2 linked regions of the Oreochromis niloticus genome follow. The protein of the gene in region 1 interacts with the protein of each later gene in a pairwise test. Links are inferred from orthologs where the notes say so. Each region holds a gene or a part of one and is shown on either strand. Other genes may lie near its edges.

Region 1 (11,217 bases):
TACGTAAATCCAAGAGTTGGCCAATCCCTTTTTTTCAGTGTGGACACAGCAGACCCTACAATGAGGAGAGCAGTCATGCGGCAAAGCAGGGAGGGCGGGGTGGGCTCCAGGGTTTAGAGCCGGGAGCAGTGGGGAGCTAATGTACCCATCTATGTTTTTATCCACTTGGCCAAGTGAGAAGTGTCTGTGTGCGGCAGGAAAACATCCTTCGCACGTGCTGTACTTGTTTTGTTCAGGATCCGGTGTAAACCAAACAGAAGAATTGTTATGATCCTTAACCCTGAACCGTGTATTCTCATAGCTCAAGTCTCACTACTTTCCATATACGTACAGAGCAACAGCATAAACAAGTGTTAACTTGACTGCGAAAGCCCACAGTTAAGACGGGGCATTTACATTTCATGCTGGCATCCTCACTCACATTTTTTTTTTCCTGTTGGATCAAGAACACGTCTTCTTACACTCTAGTGCAACACAGAACTGGAGACAAACCAGAGACTCCAACAAGATCGTACACGTAGCCGGAGACGAGCGCACACGTGCTTGGCTTTGAATTTGTCGCGTAATGTTTAACAGAATCTTTCAAATAACATAAACCTCCAGGCGACCTCTTCCTCCCTCTAGTTCTAGTGTGTGTGTGTGTGTACGTGCAATTGCTTGCACACTCGAAATGCTGCTGTGTTTTTTGCATGTTCTTGAGTACGTGTTTCTCCTGAGAACCCAAACACCTCTGGGAGATTACGTGGGGCCAGATAAGGCTGACCAAGAGTCACCACCAGGGCTGCATTCCTGCACAGCTGTTTGAGAATCAGGCACAGAAGGTTTCCCACATTGATAAATGAATACGAACGTGTGCATTCTTCCTCCAGATTTCTCAAGACGTCCACGCTCAGAACAGTGTGCATTTTGTTGCTCTGCACAGTCTTTTTCTTTTTATTCCTTAAGTGAATAATGCAATTTTATTCCACTCTGAAACAGATAACACCGGCACAGACAGCCTTTGTGCTTCAGATTGAATGATAGAAATATGTCGAGGCTCATTATGTAACCATAGAAGTTATCACATTTTCTCCATTTTACTTTACAAGTCAAACGATCAACACCATGCAAGCTGCCTGCTTATTACAGTTTAAGCAACACATTATGATGCACATGTTACACACTAGACTTTTTTCTTTTTTCTCCCAGCATTATCAGTCCCACAGACATATCAAACTGAGAGGAAGTGTGTGTCACATATCTCCGCTTGGACTGGAATGTTCTGACAAATCAACTGTAGCACTGTTTCGTCAACAGAAATGGTATGTCATCGTGATAAGACCGTATTTGAAGAGTCAACAGGGAAAAGAACGAGGGTTTAGTCACACAGTGTTTCTGTAGTTCCTTTGATTATCTTTATATTTCAGAAATTCAAAGCCTGCGAAGCACTCGAGTACAGCGTGTACATCAGTGTACGAACATAATGCTACGTACAATAAACACACGGGTATGCAGGCCTGCGTTCATTTTATACAATGTTTTTCTAAATGCCAGTTCCCAATATCTCAGGATGCTTCATATTAAAGTCAGCAGTCTTGGTAACTGTAAGAATTCTGCTGGATAGATTAAATAGTTTTATGAACTATGAGAACCAGTGTGACTGTAAATGTGACTCTGGTTTGTGTAATTATTCTTTAAGCGAGACTGTAAATAAATATAAAGTTAGAAACTCGTCACTCTTTATGTGTTTTATGCTTTAAAAGCTTTTGATCACGGGAATCACACAAAGTTATTAATTAAGAGGGGAAGAAGGAAGAACTTTGCTCCCAGTTCGTTTAAATGGGTCTTTCCTACTGTACCCGAGCACTCAGAGCACTTCATTCATACAAGCACTTTCTTCTACATAAGTGCTCTCATTTATATGGGGCAACTTTGGGTTAGTATCTTACCCAGAGATACTTAGCATGCAGACTGGAGCAACCGGGAACCAGGGATCAAACCACCAACCTCCCAGTTAGTAGCTGACCCGTTCTACTGCCTGAGCTAGACTTTATGCTAATGAGTTGATGAAACTTGTCAAATTTGGTACTGTTCAGCCATCGCACTACTGATCTCTAGCAGCTCCTTGCTAAATTCACCAATCTCTTTTATTTTATTTCACTTTTTTAAATTCATTTTTATGTAATTGTACTCCTGCTTCTGTCTCATTACTACATCTTTCTTGAGTTATTTTGTCATATTTACTTAATATCTACTAAATTTATGTATGCTTAATGTTTTGCATGCTGTAGCACAATAATTTCACAGTTTTGGGGATAAATAGCATACATTTTATCTTGTTTTCTGTCTATGTCGTGAAAAACGGCCCCCCAACCCCTCGAACTGGGTAAGTGGAAGTAAAGAGATAATTAAATCTTAGGATCTGTAACTGGGGTCAGTTACATTGGGCATCTTGCATTGATCAAACTGATCTAGCTGTATTTTTGTGTGGTAATAATCTTGCTTGCTTTTTTAAAATATGCCATATGAAGGCTTTGTTATGTTATTTAAAAAAACTCCCTTTGTGCAAACACTTGGTGGGGAGTAGGAAGAAAAAACTTCCTTTAACAGGAAGAAAGCTCCAAAAGAATTTTCTCAGGAAAGACAGCCACCTGCCTTCACTGGCTGGCAAACCAAACAAACAGCAGTTTTTGTTGTTGTTTTTTTAAATCAGTAATACTGAGCAACTTCAGACTCAGGGTCATATAGAGACAGACAAAGAGTGATTTAACACAGAACACACAAAGTTACTGACGTGCAATAGCAGCATATAAGTGGATGATAAGTGAGCAAGAGGAGAACAGAGCCGAGCACCACTATGAGTCCTCCAGCAGCCTGGGCCTAAAGCAGCACCTGAACCAGCCCTATGCATTGCATCATCACAGAGAGTGCTGTCATCTTTACTAAACTCGACAGGAGATGGTGGACAATAAGGAATAAGTAAAATAAGGAATTACAATAATTCAGCCTTGAACTGGCAAACGCAGGACTAGTTTTTCAGAATCACTGTGACAGCAGATGTTCCTAATTTGTACAATGTTGCACAGGTGAAAGAAGGCGGTTGTAGAGATTTGTTTAATGTGGCAGTTAAAGAACATATCTTGGCCAGCATGTTTGCTCTCTAACTATCATTCACATGTGAGGAAGACTTATATTTTGCATAGACAAATGGGCAACTGTCAGATAATCGTTATACAAAGTAACATCTGCCATAGTAAAATTTTGTGATCGGTTGTGAAATCAGTATATGGTCTGATTATTTCCTTCTGTGCTTCAAATCCACAAACTATGGTTAGTCTGTAACTCTTCAGAGTAACCATACGGATGCACATTTGCAAGGATCTAGAAATAAAGAGGGACGATCTTAATTACAGAAAAATAAAAAGGCTATGTCAGGTATAGCTTCTTAATAAAGACACATTTAATTGGGAATTGTTGATCAAGAATAAATTAAGATTTTAGAGGATGACACTTCCTTTCTAGCTTTTGTGACATCGGTTTTAAAATTATATGAGAGTGACAAGGAAAGAGAAAGGAAGATTCATGAAAGGAGGGTGTGCTGACTCTGTTATCATCAGTGGCACTGTAACGTGTTTAATGTAGCAAATGAGCAAAGTTCAAGTTGTGCGTCTACACAGTTTTAACCTTCTGAGACCCAGCCTGCTCATTCGCGTCCTCTGTAGTGGACACACAACTCACACACAAAAAAGTTAAACTGAAAGTTTAACCTCCTGAGGTTAGTCATGGAGCTGTATGCTGGTTTATGCATCTGATCAGTCGAGTGAGCAGACTGTGACTCAGTTTACACAGTGCAACACTGCCCTCTAGTTGGTGTTTATAACAAGCCTATCACATGACAGTGCAAACTGCTTCATCGCACTCTGCGTATTGCATACCAGCAGAATGTGCTAAGCACCAAATAATGCGATCCATGCGAAATATTACATATGAACTGCACGTTGACAAGTGATCATTAATGCTATGTAGATTTCTATTTTTCAGTATAGAATAGAATAGAATAGAATAGAATAGAATAGAATACCTTTATTGTCACTATACAGCTGTACAATGAGATACAGAGCATCTCCTACTCAGTGCAAACATGCTGGGGGGTATAAAACATTTCTGTGACATGCTTTAAAATTCATTCGATCAAAAATAGATACACATTTTATTGTATTTATTCAGTGCAGACATTTTGTAAATAAATAACTTTTTACAAATAATTTTTTTTAAACAAGTCCATTAAAGCAATAACATTCTTTAACCACTAGAGGGAGGTGTCCCTCCACGTTATACAAAACTCAATCAGGTTCACACCGCCTCATAAAACGTCAGCTACACTGTGTAAGGTTTTTACAGCGTTTTCCCAAAGATTGCAGCATTTCATAAATCACCCTTTTACTTTTCACTGAGAGCTGATGACCTCTGAACATCTGTGTATCATTAAAGCCGAGACTGGTTAAGCATGAGGGGACGTGAGTGGATATCCTGTTCGATGGCTATCATAATATAACCATAGTATCACCACAATTGCCACTATGTACTCTGTGCAATATGTACTGTTTAGACTCTGCGAGATAGCACAGAAACTTACAGCCAGGAGAACATATTTTGACAGATCCCGAGAGCTGAAGTGACTCAACAGCCAGTTTGAAGAAGCAGATTCGGAGCTGGCAGATGATCAATCAGAGTAACTGTTTGGTGTGAACAATGCAAAATGTCAAACAAAACCTCTTGTTGTGTAGATGTAGACAATTTGTTTAATGTATTTGCCTCAAAAAATGATTTATTTTTGCTTTGGAATATTTTGATTACTTCTTGTGGAACATGGAGAGGAGAAGAAACAGAGGAAATAAATAAATACTGGCCCTTCGTCTTTTTCCTTCAAACTATGTTCGGACATAGATAGATAGATAGATAGATAGATAGATAGATAGATAGATAGATAGATAGATAGATAGATAGATAGATAGATAGATCACGATTCTCACGATCACGAAAACTGGGTACTTTTCCTATATGTGACTTGAAATCGGACATGAGAGATGCATCTGCACCTACTGTTTGTCGAAGTCTTATCAGAAATGGTCTCAGTGGAAGGGTGGCCGTCAAGAAGACATTCGTATGGAAGGGAAACAAGGGAAAAAGGCTGTCATGGTTTGGAACAACACCAATAGTATTTCGGCTAGATTTTGATTCACCATGCAATACCATCTGGAAACCATCTGATTGGCAAAAGCTTCATATATCAGTATGACAATGATCCCAAAGACACTGCCACTGCAGTAAAAGCATACCTGGGTAGAAAAACACACCTCCCCAGACACCGGACCTCAAGCCCTGTTACCTCTGGAGAAAGGTAATTTCCCGTTACATAAATAATATGGCTGTGACGTAATCCTAGCAGTGACCGGGAGTTGTTATCTTTGCTTTTCTGTGCAAAACTTTCTAAAAAACCAAAGAGTAAATATTTCCGGCAGCAAATGAAAGTATGAAACTACACTGAGAAAGTCGAAAGAAAAAGGAGGAAATAGGTGCATAAGGTGCATGAAATTAATTACATAAAACTGACACTTGGGAAAGTGTTACAAAATCGTATTACACAAGCAGTTATGAATGCCTTCTGGTAGGTTTCCTATTTCCCCTGGTGTCAAAACCTCCCGCTCAAACTTTCGCAGTAATATGACTTCTGCTTGGTTTTATTTGACTGTAAAGGACTTGGAGGTTAAGAAGTTCCAGTTAGAGCGTTGACATTTGGCACACTGACAACTTTACTACGTCTCTTCCGTAGTTATGAAACTTTCAAGCGCAGGTTTTGTAACCGAGAGGTCCCGACCAATCACGGCACGAGTCTGCTGCTCACGTGACAATTATTTTTTTTATGTAACAATCGGGTATCTGTGGGAAAGTGCGTTCAATATACCGCAAAGGACCACGGCAGCCGTAGAAATGTATAAACACGTTACCAGAAGAAAACTTAAGTCTCTATAACATACTATTGCTCATCTTTTTAGACGCTAATATGTCGCTCCAGCCGCAAGCGGCGGACGCCCTGGAGGAGAGAAGCGCCTTCTTCATCGGTGCTGACTCGGGCAACGTCTCGGAAGAGGAGGACCACCATGAACTTATACTTCAGAAAGCTAACGCTCTAGCGTCCGAAAACTGCCTTAGAGAAGCCATTGACTGGTTTTCAGCTGCTATGCGGTACAGTCCTGTGCGGCCCGAGCAGCTCAGCACTTTCGTGGACTGTATCCTCCGCAACTTTAAGAGGAAAGCGGCCGGGCCGGAGCCGCTGTCGGGCCGTAGTAGCCGGGATGCGGCGGAGAGCTCCGCGGAGGAGGACGTGCTGGAGTGTCCTAACTGTCACTGCTTTCTAGGTGAACCCGTGACCTTAGCCTGTGGACATTCATACTGTAAACGATGCTTACAGCGACGGCTACTTCACAAATGTAAACTGTGTAGTGAACACGTGAGGGGCGAGGAGAAAGTGAACGTGATTTTGTGCGCACTACTAAGTAAATGGTTCCCGGAGGAAGTGGAAAAATCGAAAAAAGTAACGGAAGTGGACGCACTCTGTAGAAGAAAACGCTACCAAGAAGCCGTGGAGCTAGCAACCGACGTGATTCAGTCAGGTCAGTGTTGTTAACAGTGCCAGCCGTGCACTCGGGAGAGGTGTGTCTACTGCGCACTCTCACCGAGCAGGCGTGACTGGAGTGCGGATGTGTTATTACTTAACCAGGGTTGTGTAGTAGTGACGGGAGCGGGATACGTGTATGGCCCGTGCCCTCAATGGATTCAGAGGGGACAACATGGTGACCAATATTTTCTTTAAGTAGTAATTACTTAATTTCATGTGTTATACTGACGCCAGTCTCCTCCTGCTCTGCCTATCTGCTGGGCCCAGCTTACGAAATTGCACAAGATGGGCATGCGCGCTTGGTGCACGTTGCGTAAGGCAGGTCGTGACACATATTGGAGCAGGTTTTGTAACTTATTATGGGGGGAGGGCGGTTGTATTTTGTAATTGTTATGTCTGGGCGAACCACGGTTTCATAAATGTCTTAGAAGGTGGGAGGGGGGGATGGATTCACCGAGGGGTAAAGCAAGGCAAGGCCGGGGGTCCGTATACACACCCAGCAAAGGCAGCAAGTTATGCAATGAAAGAAACTAAACCAGGCTGGTTTATTTATTTGTAGTTAGCCTGCTAGTGATGTGGGAGGTTTGTTGGCGTTGAGTTTCGCAGGTGCAGATGCAAGTATTGATAGGAAACCCCTATGTGGGTGTATTGAAGTGAGTAATGCTCCTCTGTCCGGTAAAAACAAACTCCAGTCATACTGAAAACTGTACACTGAGTTCCCAGGTTAAAGAGGAAAAACAGGCCAGAGGATAGCATGCCCTGCCTTCGTGAAAACAAAAATAGAAAGTAAAGCAGTGTGATGCATTGTGGGTATGCTGCTGTCTTACAAGAGGAACAGGCTTTCTTTTCCTTCTTTTTTTTAATTTCCTGATTACTAAATTTCTGATTACTTTCAATCACACAATGAAGGAACTCTAGTCTATTCATTAAACTTGTGCTGTTATAGTAATTAGGGTAGTAGTTCTATAGCCTGGCAGCTTGACAGTAGGTCTGGAAAACTGCTTTGGACCTGCATGTGATTTAATATCTCATGTAACATGCTGTATCCTTTTTGACCTCTGTTACTCAGACATTAGCAGCACAATATCAGGATGTTTAGCGAAAGGGTTACCCGTGTTCCAGGAACCCCCAGGGACTCAGACTTGAAAGCATGTCTTAGTTAATCAGAACAAAATAAATTGCATTTGATAGTTTGAGTAACTTAAAGCAAAACTTTATCCCCCCCTTTTTCCCCTAAAATGGTAAATGGTTTGTTTTTTCTGGATGTAACATGGAGCTTGCTGAGGATAAATTAAGAAATAATCAATACAACCCAAATGCACTTCCTCCCCTACATTAGATGCTTGGAGTTACTTGCTTTCAAATTAACATCATATATTTGTTTGTTCGTTTTTTTTCTCGTTTGCTGCTTCGACTATTTTAAAAAGGAAGGAAGGGCTGTGTGCCGGATGACAAATGACAAAATATGAAATTACAGCCTGACCTGTTCCTGGATTGTCTCTCAGGTCGTCCCAAAAGCAGTGATTTGTACACATTAAAGGTTACATAAAGATAACAGCGGCATCACCCTTCTGTCACTTGACAGTGGGTCGAGGACTTCACACCGATGCCACTGAGGCGCTATTGCAGTCGACAGTACCTGCTTATGACAGTGCAGACCCACAGTTCTGCATCCAACCTGAGGGGAGGATAGAAAGTTCCAGACACAGAGGGGGTGCTTTGCTGATGTAATGATGACAAGACAAACTACCCTTACCCTTCCAATTAGTATCTCGAATGCTCCATAGAAATGAGATAATCTCTCTCAGGGAAACGTAATACATTATTAGCACTGACAGTATGCAATGTGGTTTATGATGACACAGCAGTTAAATAACAAACTTCATCTGCCACGCAGACAGATTGCTTTAAAAGGCTGAGGCAGGATGATTACATAGCCAGTGGAATATATCTTCATCTTAATGTTTAGTCTTTCTCACAGGTGGAAGTATTTAGAGCTGTTTTAGGCCCTCCTTAATGGCAGCTGTTCTACCATCAACAAAGCAGTCTGCCTTTCAAAAAAGCCTGTCATTGTGTTTAAAGCATATGTCATGTTTTGTAGTGCTTTTTCTTTTTAATTTAAACTACCACAGTGGACAGAACTATATAGTCAACCAATCTCTCTCTGGTCTTGCAGGCTTCTGCAGCTTGTTTTCCTTTTACACTGTTTGGCCAGAATTCATTGACACAGTTAATATGTAATGCAGGGTCCTGATTAATTGCATAATGTATGACTTGCAGGAAATATTTTCTGTTGAGGGGAAAACAGTACTTGCCTGTGCAGCTAGGAAATATTGTGGGGTAGCTCAGTGTGTTATAGACTTAATTGGTATGTGTGCTATTACATGTATGTGACATGCAACACAATCATTCAGCAACTAAATGGTTTGTATTTGTGCAAGTGTTGAGGTTTAAGCAATTTCCTCTGGCCATTGAAGGTTTTTCTTTCCCCCCTCCTTTTCATCCTGTCCCCTGCAGATCCAGACACGACGGCGGTGGCGCGACTGTCTCGAGCGGAGGCGTACATGGGTCTGAAACAGTACCGCCAGGCTTTGGAGGACACTAACGTTTGTCCCCGATCCAGCTGTTCTGCTGAAGTAGGTCATTCAGTGATACTCCAGGAATATGTTAGTCTGCTGTAAAAATAGAAATGAAGCATGACTAATAAATAATAACGAAACAGGATGACTTTGTAAAATTTGTAAAAGTCTGAAGGATTTATGTGGTTGAATGACTGGTGTTGGGTAAGTTAGCATAGAACTTTTTTTTTCAATGTAAGCCCTAAGGTTAGTGGATGACTCACACAACTACCTTTTGCATAGTCGAGTCTAGCGTGCATTCACCTGTTGTGATATATCGGTCAGCCAGCCTTTACTTAGAAAAGGTGTATTTTAAGACTGCTGCCGTCACAGCCCCACAGATGGAGAGAGAGTGGCCTCATTAACTGTGTCATTAGTGTCGTTAGATGCTAATGACCTGTAAATTGCAGACCAGTTTACAGCAGCAAGGTTTATTCATTCATCCACATTGTTATAGAACACTTTACAAGGTTTATGTTGGATTAGTGACCAGTGAATTATACTTCCCAGAGAATGACTTTTTGCTGATCTAACTGTTTGCTTATAGGCCGTACTTTTAACAGTGGGCTGCTATTTTTACTGTTACATAAAGGATCTTCTCTTTGGGTAAATGTGTTACAAAAGAGTGTCATGACCAGTCAAGGTTTTCTCGATGGCAGCTGAGAATGCAGTGATTAAGGTCACAGACATTAACAACTATTACATCACAAGCATGACACCAAACGTGTGTGTCGAATGCCTACGATATGTTTTGTGATTTTATCTATGTGATGCATAGTCATATTGACAGGCATTGAAAGCATTGTGTATGTGTATATATATATATATATATATATGTATAAAAGCTACACCTGTAGCTTGTGTATTTGAAGCTTGTCTGAGAGTCACATTTGCACGTCTTCTTTCAGGCTTTATTTAGGAAAGCTATGGTGCTGCATGAGATGGGCCAAGTGGACGAGTCTCTCCAAGTCTTCCTCCACTGCCTGGCTGTTGATGAGGACTTCCCCTGTGCTAAAAGACAAGTGGAAAAGGTGAGAGGGTTACGGTGTCTGCTGCGAGCCTGCTGCCAGGGAGGAAGTGGAATTCATACTGTTTTAACTATTTTAAGTAGTTTAGGTCCAGGGCATGAGTGTCTAAGCTGGGAACACAACGCTCTCCTTCTCCTTATTCATTTATTATTTACTTTAGAGCCATTTGTCTGTTTATTTAGGATCTGCTATTATATTACAACCCTAATGTAATCTCCCTTTGTCATGACATCTTAATCTTAACTACTGAATAACCCATTTAACTTGGAGCATGGTATAGACATTAGGTTTTATAAGCATCCTGAATGGAAGGAGCTGTTGCGTTGCTGTGTTTTTAATAGGATTTATATTGTCAAATGTCCTTTACAGATTTATTATTCTGGTCATTGATGCTGATATATTTAAATTGAAAAGAGAAAGTAAGAAATTAATTACCTAGGCCGTGGGAGGAACATTAAAACTGTTGGAAATATGGAAATATGAAGCATTTACTGTTGGTGCTTTACTCAGGGTGATGATTGTGGACTGTATGAGGGACAGTGGATGCACACAAATGACATTGCTTTTGGTTTTTACTTCCACTTCCGTGAACTTTGCCTGTTCCTTCTATCTCCCTGGGATCATCTGTCTTGGAATTGCATAAGTCGTTAGTGGGTCAGATCTTATGACTGTGCCTCTAATGACGTTAGTACCACTTAAAAGTCAGACAGAGCACAGTATTGTAGTTACATAAGTGACATGCAGTTGACTAATGTATGCAGGACTACATTCGTTCTCTGCATAACGTGACAGTTCGCCATTATGTGCTGAACCTGGTCTGTGTTCAGCTGCCGATACAAGCGTTTTGTGTAATCGCGTTTGAAATTGATTCGTTTGGTCATTTTGGGTTACTGGGTGTGTTGGCATCTTAACT
Region 2 (11,005 bases), on another chromosome or scaffold:
GGCCCGACGATTCACGGTCTTAAACACGCGGTACGTGTGATCGTTCTTCTTCTCTTCGATCTTCTTCTCAAAAAACGCATCGTACTGGAAGCGGGCCGCTGGAAAAGAAGAGGAAGGTATAAGGTTGCTTAATGTGGCTTAGTGTTGCTACAGTACTGCAACTGATGGAGCAACTTTAACATGAGGAAAGACTACACCCGTGTGCAAAAACACCAAAACATACTTGCAACTAAAAAAAGAAAAGATTGTCATAGTAAGGCAGACAGTATCTAGATTAATCACAGGCTTGCAGGACAGTGTGATAAAACTATCAACATAAAACCTACTTCTTCCTGGTAAGTTGTCTTGCAGCAGGTGGCTGACTTTCTTAGGTCGCTGTTTCAGGAGGGTTTTCATTAATGTGGTTTCTCCTTCGGTAGTACTGGCCAAGTTTGGCTGCTTTAGTTGGTCAGCAGGCACTTCTGTCATGACAAAAACAAAATGCTGTCAAATACTGTACAAAACTATGGAAACCTGATTAATTTCTCAAAGAAAAAAAACAAAAAACAAAAAACCAACAACAAAAAACCCTTACCTTTCTTCACAGTGCGCACTTCCTGTACATCCTCTTGGAACTCTATGCCAACCTGACGGACTACACCACTGTTCTTCTGGCTCATCTCAGCAGCCAGGAAAGGGCATTTGGAGGCCATCATCTGTCCTGGAGGTGGCATAGGGTGGCCAGCCGGCAGCTTGGACTCCACCTCCTGTTTGGGGGCTGCAAAGGGACAAAAGTTTTAAATTTCACATTTATCAGTAATTCTATCATTACATGATTTATTTGACTAAATATAATACAGCTGTAGTGTTGATTAGAATAGCCAGTATCACCACCATCTTTATCATCCTCACCGGCAGACATGGTGTTCTCAGGCTTCTGGTGGGAGGATGAGGAGGAACAGAGGGCACGTGCCATTGAAGGGGCCATAGGTTTTGCAGCCAGCTCCATCATGATGGGGCATCGCTGGGCGTAGGTCACCAGCGCCTTTTTGGACTGCTGGAGAAAGGCCTGGGGCATGCGAGCCAAGAAAGGACAGCGGCGCACTATTACATCCATAATCAGCAGCGGTGATGACGATGATTGTCTCGAGTTCTAAAGGAGAAAGAGAAAACTTATGTGAAACGTGTCCTGCAGACAATGCAGATAATGTTTTTGTTCCATAAAAGAAAGGAAAAAAGGCTTTTTAGAAGAAAAAGCCTGTCTGTTGCAAAAACCTGTTTTACAACATAGGTCAAGGAAGTGGGAAAATGCTGTTTATGGTCAAACACTCCTACATGGTTCAGCTAAATCTAGATTTTGAAAAACAAAAACAAGTGAGAATGAGATCTGATTATCTCAGTCTTTCAAAGGCAGGTGAGATGAGTTCACTGAGCCACTGATATAATACGTGAAAGCTGAAAGACTCTTACGAGCCCACATGTTTGGCTACACTCACAATAGTCAAGTGTTACTTTAAGAAGCCTGCAGTGTTTGCAGTGATGGGAATAACGGCGTTACAAGTAACGGCGTTACTAACGGCGTTACTTTTTTCAGTAACGAGTAATCTAACTAATTACTATTCCTATCGTTACAACGGCGTTACAGTTACTAACAAGGAAACGCGGTCCGTTACTATTTTTCAACAAACAGACGGTTGAAGCTGTGTTCAGCTTACCGCATCTTCTGGACGCTACAGCTTTAAGCAGCTGCGCGCGCTCCCGCGGACGCTAATCACGAGCACTGTCCAGCACAACACCTGGAGCTCAGGAGGCAAAACAATCGCATGAGTGCTGCTGTTTGACTGAGGAAGAATAAAGTAGTCGTGGTAAGTCAATCACACGACCACTTAAAGACAAAGCAACAAGGTGATATATACCAGTTTATAAATTGTGTTGATAGGCCACGTAAAACCAGAGTCATGATAAACAATATATACGCGGCGTTTTTTCCTCAATAGTTTCGCCACGTTAGCGCTAGCAAGCACTCTCTGCTTATGAGCAAACAAAACAAAAGTTTTAGGAGTGACGGCGAGAGAGAGAGAGAGAGCAGGAAAAGAGAGAGAGCGAGTTTTGAGATTTGTGACGTTTAGCGTGTTTGGAGTGTGTAGTTCATGTGTTGTCTTGTGTAGTTAGTGTGTAGTGTTGTGTATAGTTTTGTGTTGTGTGTCAGAACAATGAGGCGACTGCTGTCTCCAGGTAGAAACAGGAGTGATACACCTGCTGCTGTCAGACCTGCAGGTATCAGGCTGTGATGTTCTCCTTTATAGTGGACAGAAATTATTTTTTTGGAGTGGCACAAATAATTTGTGTGGCATCTTATTGAATGCAGAAGCAGAACAGCTGATTGTTCTGTAAATAGTTTGAAATGGTTATTTAAAAAAAAAGGGTAAAAGGTAAATGGATGCAAATAACTTTGTTGTTTGCAAAACTTGTGCATATAATTTTAAAACTGACAATTTATATTTGTATTTGAAGTTATGAAATATGATTCATTAAACGTGTTTATGGTTGTTACAGTAAAAATATAACTTTTTCTACTCTGATTTTATGTTTTTTGTTTGATTTTAGATCAATTCTGGTTATACAGTATGATAAAATGAGAACATAACTGTAAATTCAGGCTCGTGAGGTTGCGCTAAAAAGAATGATACCAAACAAGGCAAAGTAAATAGTTTTTAAAGGTAAAATGTGGAGAGAAAATCAAGAGTAGTAAAAAAATGGCCAATTATACTCTGGACGCCAGAGGGTTAAACGTTCTTTGTTTTTGTTTTTAAAGTAACGCAATAGTTACTTTTCCAAGTAATTAATTACTTTTAGAATATTGTAACTGAGTTACTAACTCAGTTACTTTTTGAAGAAGTAACTAGTAACTGTAATTGAATTACTATTTCAAAGTAACTTGCCCAACACTGAGTGTTTGCTCATAGCTGGGTCATAACCTTTCCCCAACAGAAACCAGTTCCCAGGTAGGACACCCACACCTGAACTTTGCTCCCTATGAAGTTCCAGAGAAATCTAACAGTGACTAATGTGGTACGTCGAAGCTGCTCTTTCCCTTATATAAACACTAGATAGAGATCAATACATACATAACATAAAAGTAATGCCAATGTAATTCATAGAGTTCCAAACAAAGAAAAGCTAGTCTTTGTTTCTGTTTATTTATATGCCTTTAATAATGATACCCACATTATTTGTCGACTTATTTAAAGCTACTCAAAGTGCTACTGACGAAACATGATGATGATGACGATAATAATAATAATAATAATAATAATAATAATAATGATGATGATGATGATGATGATGATGATGATAAATTATATTATTGTTGTTATTATTAATAATGAAACTTCTGTCTTCTGCCTGATTAAATACCCCTGCTTATACCCGAGTTGTCCTACAGTCCTTACTTTGACTGAACTCATGGGCGTCTCCGGGCTAGTAAAAACCCCATCAGTTTAATCTAAACTAAAAACAGTAGCGCTCTACCTAAACAACGCTGCTTACGATAATTATGACCATGATTTATGTTTATTCATATGGTCTACCCATCTCTACTCAACCGGTGTTACAATAAAAATAGATTTATTAAAACCTCAACACTTTAAATAAATTCACTGGTTTAACAGGTATTTTCCTGTTTTGACTCACCATTTTTTTTGCGCAAAAGTTGAGCAAAAGTCATACCTTATGTGTCTCCGATGGTAATAAATATCGCGATGAGATCGTTTCGAGACATAAAAAGTGTCAGCCTGGCTTTCCTATCGTTAACCGGGCCCATCGTGATCCTTGCCGGTTGACTGATCTTAGCAGGACGGCTAACATTAGCTAAGAAGCTACTCGAAATAGGGGTGATGATCGCGATGAGGTCAAATAAGAACACCTACCTCTTAAAACTTCACAGCTTCCGGTGTAATCCTCGTCGTGTTATAGTGACAATAAGCGATCTTGGGTGCTGCTCAGAGAAATAAAAGAAAACACAGCTTGTTGTTAACGGAAGCAGAGCAAAACGACTCTTCGTTATCCTGCACTGAGGACGAACGGAGAGGACGAGGGCGAGCCAGTTCTTATAAAGTAATGCCCAGACGAAGTATCGCGAGATCTTAATTCTGACGTTCTGTGTGCGTCATCAAACACTCTCGCCTATCTGGCAGCGGACCCAGCAAGGTTTTGTTAAGGACACTTGAGTGGAAAGGATTTGGTCATTACAAACACGGTGAAGGTGGTTTCCTTTACATGAATTCATAGATTGAATCCCCAAACTTCCAACAAAACTATAAAAGCGATTTAGATGTCATTTATTTTGGTTTTGTACTTTTATGCAGGTGTCATGGAAAAGCATTTTGGAAAAGCATTTTGGTTTTATCTCTAACAACATGCTGTCAGAATTTTTTATTTTCATTTCTATTTCTATATATTTGTATTTCACATCTTATTTGGTTGTAAGAAATACGAGAGCAGTACCTCATCTGTTGGCTTTTACTCCTTGTCAGACACCACATCCATAAATGTAAACTCTCAAAAGAGAAGCCACGCTTCCTTTTTTTTTTTCATGAAGGAAATGGAACTTTATGTGGCCCAATTTATTCTATTCTTCCCATAAGAAAAAGATATTGATATCTGTGATTTTTAATGTCTCTCATGACCCCGTAACTCTTTCACCTCATTGTTTTGTTCCGTTATGATTTAATTGATTTCCTTGCCATTATTTTTGTGTTATGCTTTTATTGTAAAAGGGAAAAATAGCATGCCCAACAAGGCTCAGGGGCCCAAAGGTGTTGGAGGGGGCTAGGGAACTTGTAGAGTAAAAGGATTCCTTTTTTCTCATGCTCATAAAAGACCCACAACCACAAAGAGCTTCAGAAAGAAAGCAGCTCATGGAAAAGAGTCGTTGTAACTGAAACGTGGGAGTATTTCTCCACTTGGCTTTTCTAAAGGATATTTGGGTTTATGCCACAGCTGATGTTATGGCTGAAACTATGGCTGAAAATGTTTTATGTTTGCTTCTCTTGTAGTAACAGCCTATCACTTAATCTGGAGTTTGGAGTGATTTAATTCAATTATTATTTTGCTTCTTTTGTTGCTTTACTTTTTTTTGTTTATCTTTTGATTTTTGCACTGCCACACCCCAAGCTACAGCAAAACCTGTGGCTGATAAATGTGGGCTACACACAAATTAATCTAAGATGATATAAGAGACATTCACATGAGTAGGCGGATGTTTTAAAAGTTGTATGATGAAGGCCCTGAAGGTGCATTATGATTCTTTTGTGACATTTATCATGTGTTTTGTGAGTTGTCAGCTCTTTGTCATGTGTTTCCTTATTTTGTTGCAGTGGCTTGAACTGAAAGTATTTATGGGGGTTTCAATTAGTACAAAAGTAAATGAATATTTGTGTCCATGAGCATGAGTCAATCCATTTTTTGAATCTTTAATGAAATGCCATGAGATCAGGTTGGTGTGCTGGGGAAAGAGGGAACCGTGGGGTTTCCGGTGCTTCATATTACCTGCAAAGCCCTACTAGAAGCATGAGAGTTATATTTAAATGTATTCAGTTGGACCTTAGTTGGGCAGTGATTTTGAAGAATTACTTAAATTTACTTTAATTTTAATTGTAAGTAGGACATAAAGACTGCCTGCACATAATTACTGGTCAAAATTTATAAAAAATGCTTATAAAGTTTGCTGATTTCGCACAAAAGTAAGATTTAGAAACTCTTTAACCCCATTGGAAGTCACCATCTTTGTGAATTCTACCACAGATTTTAATTCACGATTCTTTGATTGCCATATCTCCCTTTTATATTTACTCCGATCTTTGTAGTATTTATTCTGTTTGTAGCCGTTAAAAATAACTTACAGTCATTGTGTTTAATCACCTTTTACCTCCATCTAAGATTTGCAGAGACTTTGTAATTTAACAACAGCTCTCTAAACTACAACTTTATGTGTATTTGAATTGTTACAATGATGCAAAACACTCAAACTGAAATCAGATTACGACTCGAAAGACTTGTTAATCGCTCTAGAGGTTTTCGCTGCATGTGATGTCTGGATTTAAAGAGTGACACTAAACTTGGATTGGTGCCTTAATGGATTTTAGATTGTCTTGTAATCTTTGCAGGTGTTCTTGCATGCGTGTGGGTGAAAGGTTGTTGACAAAGCCTATGGTGCCAAACCAAGGCTAAACTCAGTAAACACATTACACATTGTTACCATTTTATTAGGTGCAGCTGTTTAAAATGAATTCATTTTAATGCAACTGAATGCTTCATTGTTTAAACAGTTCTAATGTAATATTTTGCAGTGTATATATCTGAGCCATTCTTTCTCATACATTGTAAGTGAAAAACTCAGAACCTCAGTTTAACATAGTATTTCAGCACCAAATACTGGCAAAGAAAGAGTGATCAAAAAGGCTTTAAGACTTAAATGAGCTTTAGTTTTTATAAGAACTGTAATTCCCATTGTTTATAATCACCTATTGTGGCTGTACTGGTGCTGACTACAAGTGTATGCGGAGGGGAAAAAAAGCACTTTACTCAGAACAACAACAATAGCATTGCAAAAAGAATTTCAAATGTCTTACTCTGAAGAATCTACACTTGTTTCTGCCCTCTGGATCTGTGAGGTTTTTCACCGTCACTTCAGATTTATGGTTGCGGTGTTTTGCTGCCCTCTGCTGATCTATTTTGACTTTAGCAGTGTTTCCTAAAGTTTTACCCTCATACCTGTACTTATGTCAGACTGTATTATTTAAGTGTACTAAAGCAGTTACTTAAACTCACCTTGCCTGGGAATGACCGATAAAATGAATGCCACCCATCCATCCATGCAAATCAGTACAGTTCAAAGCTTTTATTTGTACCAACATTTACAGTGACACTGAACAGTCTGTGCTCTGAGCCAGGCAGTAAACAAAGTCTCAGTCATCCATATTTTCCTCAGGTGTTCTTTACAAACACTGGATGATTGTCCCAGGTGACTGCAGTTTCACTAATGCAACATAAAAATGCCCCTAATGTTTAACATTTAAGATTCACATTTATTTTCAAAGTAAAAACACTGGAAAGTTATCTTAACAGACTGTGATGTTGTTAACACAAGCACACTATTACAATCTGAAACACGTATTCTTTGTTATGAAATATCTTCGATTTGAAAATCATAATAAGAATAACAGGATCAGTGATTTATAAAACTCTGTGTGCATAATTATACCTGCGTTTCTTCTGACTGATGTAAGCCAGAAATACATAAGAAGTTGAAACAGAAAATTATTGAAAGTTGCAGATGTGTATTAAATGGGAATTAAAACGCCGTCATAGACCGAGTTTTAATCTGGTTGTAGGCTGTGGCACTAGGTGGCAGTAGTGGACTGGACTCCACCTGAATGCAGGTAATGTAAAGTGCATGCTTTATTTCTGGACCTGACAACTCTCAGGGTGATTAGAGCTCAACTAACAGGTTCAGAATTTTTTCGCTATCAGCAGCGAGTCAGTGCCAGATGTAACGACATTCATCCATCCATTCATCACCCACATGATAGCTACCAAAAATACCTTTCATTTCATTTTCCTCTTTATTCGTCAGGGACCATGTACAACAAACATTAACCTTCTAAGAGAAAATTGTACCTGATTTAGCTGATGGCTGATTTCCATCCGCAGTCCCTGGACAGGTTTAATGAACACATCAGCAATAAACAAATTATATTAATACAAATTCAGCTGACAATTCAGCGCAAGCGGACAAACATCCCAGCTAAAATAATTTCAAAATCCAGCCCAGTATCACGTCCGCACGACGTCCCCTAGTGGACCAACAGGTCAATTACACGCTTTTACTTCTAAATCATATAATTGTTTGCTACAATAGCTAGCTCAGTTTTTAAGGTTAGTTAGTTTAATTAATTGTAAATGGACTGAAGCTTGTGTTTTCTTACTCTCACCTAGCACTCTTAAAATTTCAAACTGTATCCACAGACACATTTTAGCGCTCACACGCAAACCCAGACGGATGGATTCATACGTGGGGTTCATGTCTTGTCCAGGGACATTTCATCTTGTAGATGTAAAAGGTCCAACCTTTGGAGTAGTAGACAACCCACTCTGAATCCTGAGCCACCGTAAACATATTTAATAAGCAGTCCATCCCGGAGTGCGACTTAAACAAGTCACTCTATCACAAATCTCGCAGTCAAAATAAGACATGCTTTTCTTTGCATTCAAATGCGTGCCACAAATTTTCAGTTTATGTATGATTCATTTAAATGCTCTCCTCCCAAAATGTTGTGCTTTAAAAGGAAAGGAAAGCTGAAAACAATATAAGAGCCGCAGTGTGACATTTGATCGCCTTTGCAGTTCAGTTACGGGTGAATGATGCATGCAAACTTTTGTGAGTGAAGAAAGTCTGCCAGTGGGCTGGAACATGAACTGAGTTCCGTATTGACGATCAGACCGAACATCAGCGGTTGATTCAAATCAAACGTTTCCTCTAAGAGTATCGCAGGAGATTTCCAGTTCCTTTACTGGTTTTGGGGATGCGGGAGTAACCATGGCACCAGTGGTGTCCAGTATTGTTGTGTTGGCTCTCTATGTGATCCTGTCCCCTCGTGTATCCGGTAAGTTTGATTATTTTAATCTGTAAATGGCATTCGATGAATCACAGGCAATCAGTGTGTGATGTCATCTTCATACCAGTACTAAACAGGCCGCTACCGTGTTATTATTATTGTTTTAAGTTGCAGTTTTGTGCTTTAAATCTTATAATAAATAGTTTGTTTAATTCAGTCATTTAAACATAGGAATACTCACACGGACACATTGAATGTTAACCAGTGTCAGTGTCTGGGTATTTTCTAATGTTATAAGCTATAATCTGGTAACTCAAGTTGCCAGGTAATTAAGTACAGGCAAGGCCATTATATCCGATGTAAAGCAGCAGGCATAAAGAAATACAAATCTTTAAAGGTTATAATAATCATCATTTGGAAGTTTAATTTTGTATAAATATAATACATATAAGTTTTCGTAATTAAAGTTTTATTATTTTTGAACATTTAAACAAACATAACATAACAACACAAAACAACAAAAACCACACTCAGTGAGGGATTTTTTTTTAATAAATAATAAAAAAATATATATATATATATATAATTTATAAATAAACTGTTGCGCACACAAGAGCCTTAATTCTTAATTCAAACTGTATCTCACATTGTCATCATGCTGTAGACCCATAAAAACAAAAACTGTCCCATTATTCTGTTAGAGTGTCTGTCTTGCTGCTCAGTCTTCCCAGCATTTTCTCGCATGCGGAATATAATAAATATAATTAAGGGCTCCAAACTGGGAGCTGAGCCTAAATAAGGGTGTGAAAACACAACCTTTTTATACAATGTTGTACAGTTCAACAACACCCACAACTACAGCCTCTGAAATTACACTGAAGTTGAAAAACTCCCTAAAAGTCAACATGTCGCTGCACTGAGCAGTGAATTATCTTAACTAAAAATTCATTGAATTATCTGAAATGTGCTCATTTCTCTTTGTTTTCCGTGTCTGCTCTGTTTCATCAGGGGACGAGTGCTTGGGATACTCAGAAAGGTTCGGGACTCAGAGCACCGTGTCCAGTTATCAGAGTTCCCAGGAATGCTTTACAGAATTTTGCTGTGGTTTCTGCTACAACAGATATTGCTGTTCAAATCCTTTCATGAGGTTTGATAAAGATCAGCAAGAACGATGGTATTTTTTCTATGTTATTCTGTAATCAACAAAAAACTACCTTGTGTAAAGTTAACAATTTCTGTTTTCGACGTCTGTTCCCTTTTTTCTTTTCCTTTTTTGTGTAATCACAGTCGCACACAGTCATTGTGATGGTGTGCCTGTTTTAGGCCAATTTTACCATTAAGAAACAGGAAGTTATGTCTTCCTGTGCACGATTACCAACAAAGGTGTAACGTTGAAGAGCAATCCACCTACAGCTTGCACCAGAGGCTTTCCCCCCCACATTATTGGTAACAGTCATACACTGTGTTCCTCTACATACCTGCTGGAGGATTGACAGGATACCTGCTGCTCTTGAAATGACTTAAAATACATGAAATTCAGTGTCTTGTAGACATATAGCAACCTTTTTCAGATTACCAGAACTGTTCTACCTGTGCTACCATTATTAATTGGGGCTTTTTTTATATAGTGCTTGGAAGTGCTGAAATTTGTGATATGTTGGCAGGAGATGGTGGGAATGGTTGGTTTACAGGTTGGTTGTCACACTGTTATTCTCCAGGCCACTAAAGAGCACTACCATAAAAGTTAGGGGAAAAGAAAGAAATACAAACTAGAACTATAATAGACAGAGGAATAGAAAAAGTATACACTTTAGTTAATGCAGATAAGATTCAGCTATATTTTCATATATCAATTTATTTTCAATATAACAAGTCTGTGCAGCTGGTTAGCTGGTTAACATAATTATATCACACTTGGTTGCACACTTGGGATTGGCTGGCCCATGCACAATGTTCGTAAAAATGGGTTAACTCATATTAATATAATGAACGATAATATAAACAATACTATTATAAGTAGGAGGTTATTTCATCATAAACAGTGCTTTTTTTAAAATCAAGAATACAGGTCACTACTCATGAGAAATTAATTTTTATTTCTGAACATACAAATATGTGTATGTTCAAAATTTATCATTAATATTATTATCCGTCTGCTTTCAGTTATCCAGTTCAGGGGCACAGGGGGCCTGGAGCCTATCCCAGCTGTCATAGGGCGAGAGGTTGGGTATACCATATGCAGGACACTAGTCTGTCGCAGTGCTAGCACAGACAGACAGACAGATTATACTACAGGCATCCAGGCAGGTGAAGATTCAAAACAAAAGTATAAGCAGTGCAGAGAAGATCAGTCAAGACTGGACTGATGGTCAGAGGGCGCACACGTACTGCCCTATACAAGCTGTTAC

Evidence for each region.
Region 2: the proteins of lonrf1 (region 1) and alas1 interact in binary tests that used the Homo sapiens proteins (3 or more experiments, as listed by UniProt). The two-hybrid records come from large-scale screens. The link is inferred for Oreochromis niloticus from reciprocal best matches to the Homo sapiens genes LONRF1 and ALAS1.

Annotation. Positions count from the first base shown.
Region 1 is NC_031971.2:21,180,215-21,191,431, forward strand, and holds the start of lonrf1 (LON peptidase N-terminal domain and RING finger protein 1), read left to right. Parts: upstream 1-5,886; 5' UTR 5,887-6,043; coding exon 6,044-6,653; intron 6,654-9,175; coding exon 9,176-9,294; intron 9,295-10,184; coding exon 10,185-10,307; intron 10,308-11,217.
Region 2 is NC_031970.2:19,677,592-19,688,596, forward strand, and holds the start of alas1 (5-aminolevulinate synthase, non-specific, mitochondrial), read right to left. Parts: upstream 4,080-11,005; 5' UTR 3,909-4,079; intron 1,133-3,908; 5' UTR 1,097-1,132; coding exon 892-1,096; intron 758-891; coding exon 575-757; intron 462-574; coding exon 327-461; intron 99-326; coding exon 1-98. Other genes in the region: protein shisa-4-like, read left to right, coding at 8,579-8,645, 9,606-9,771.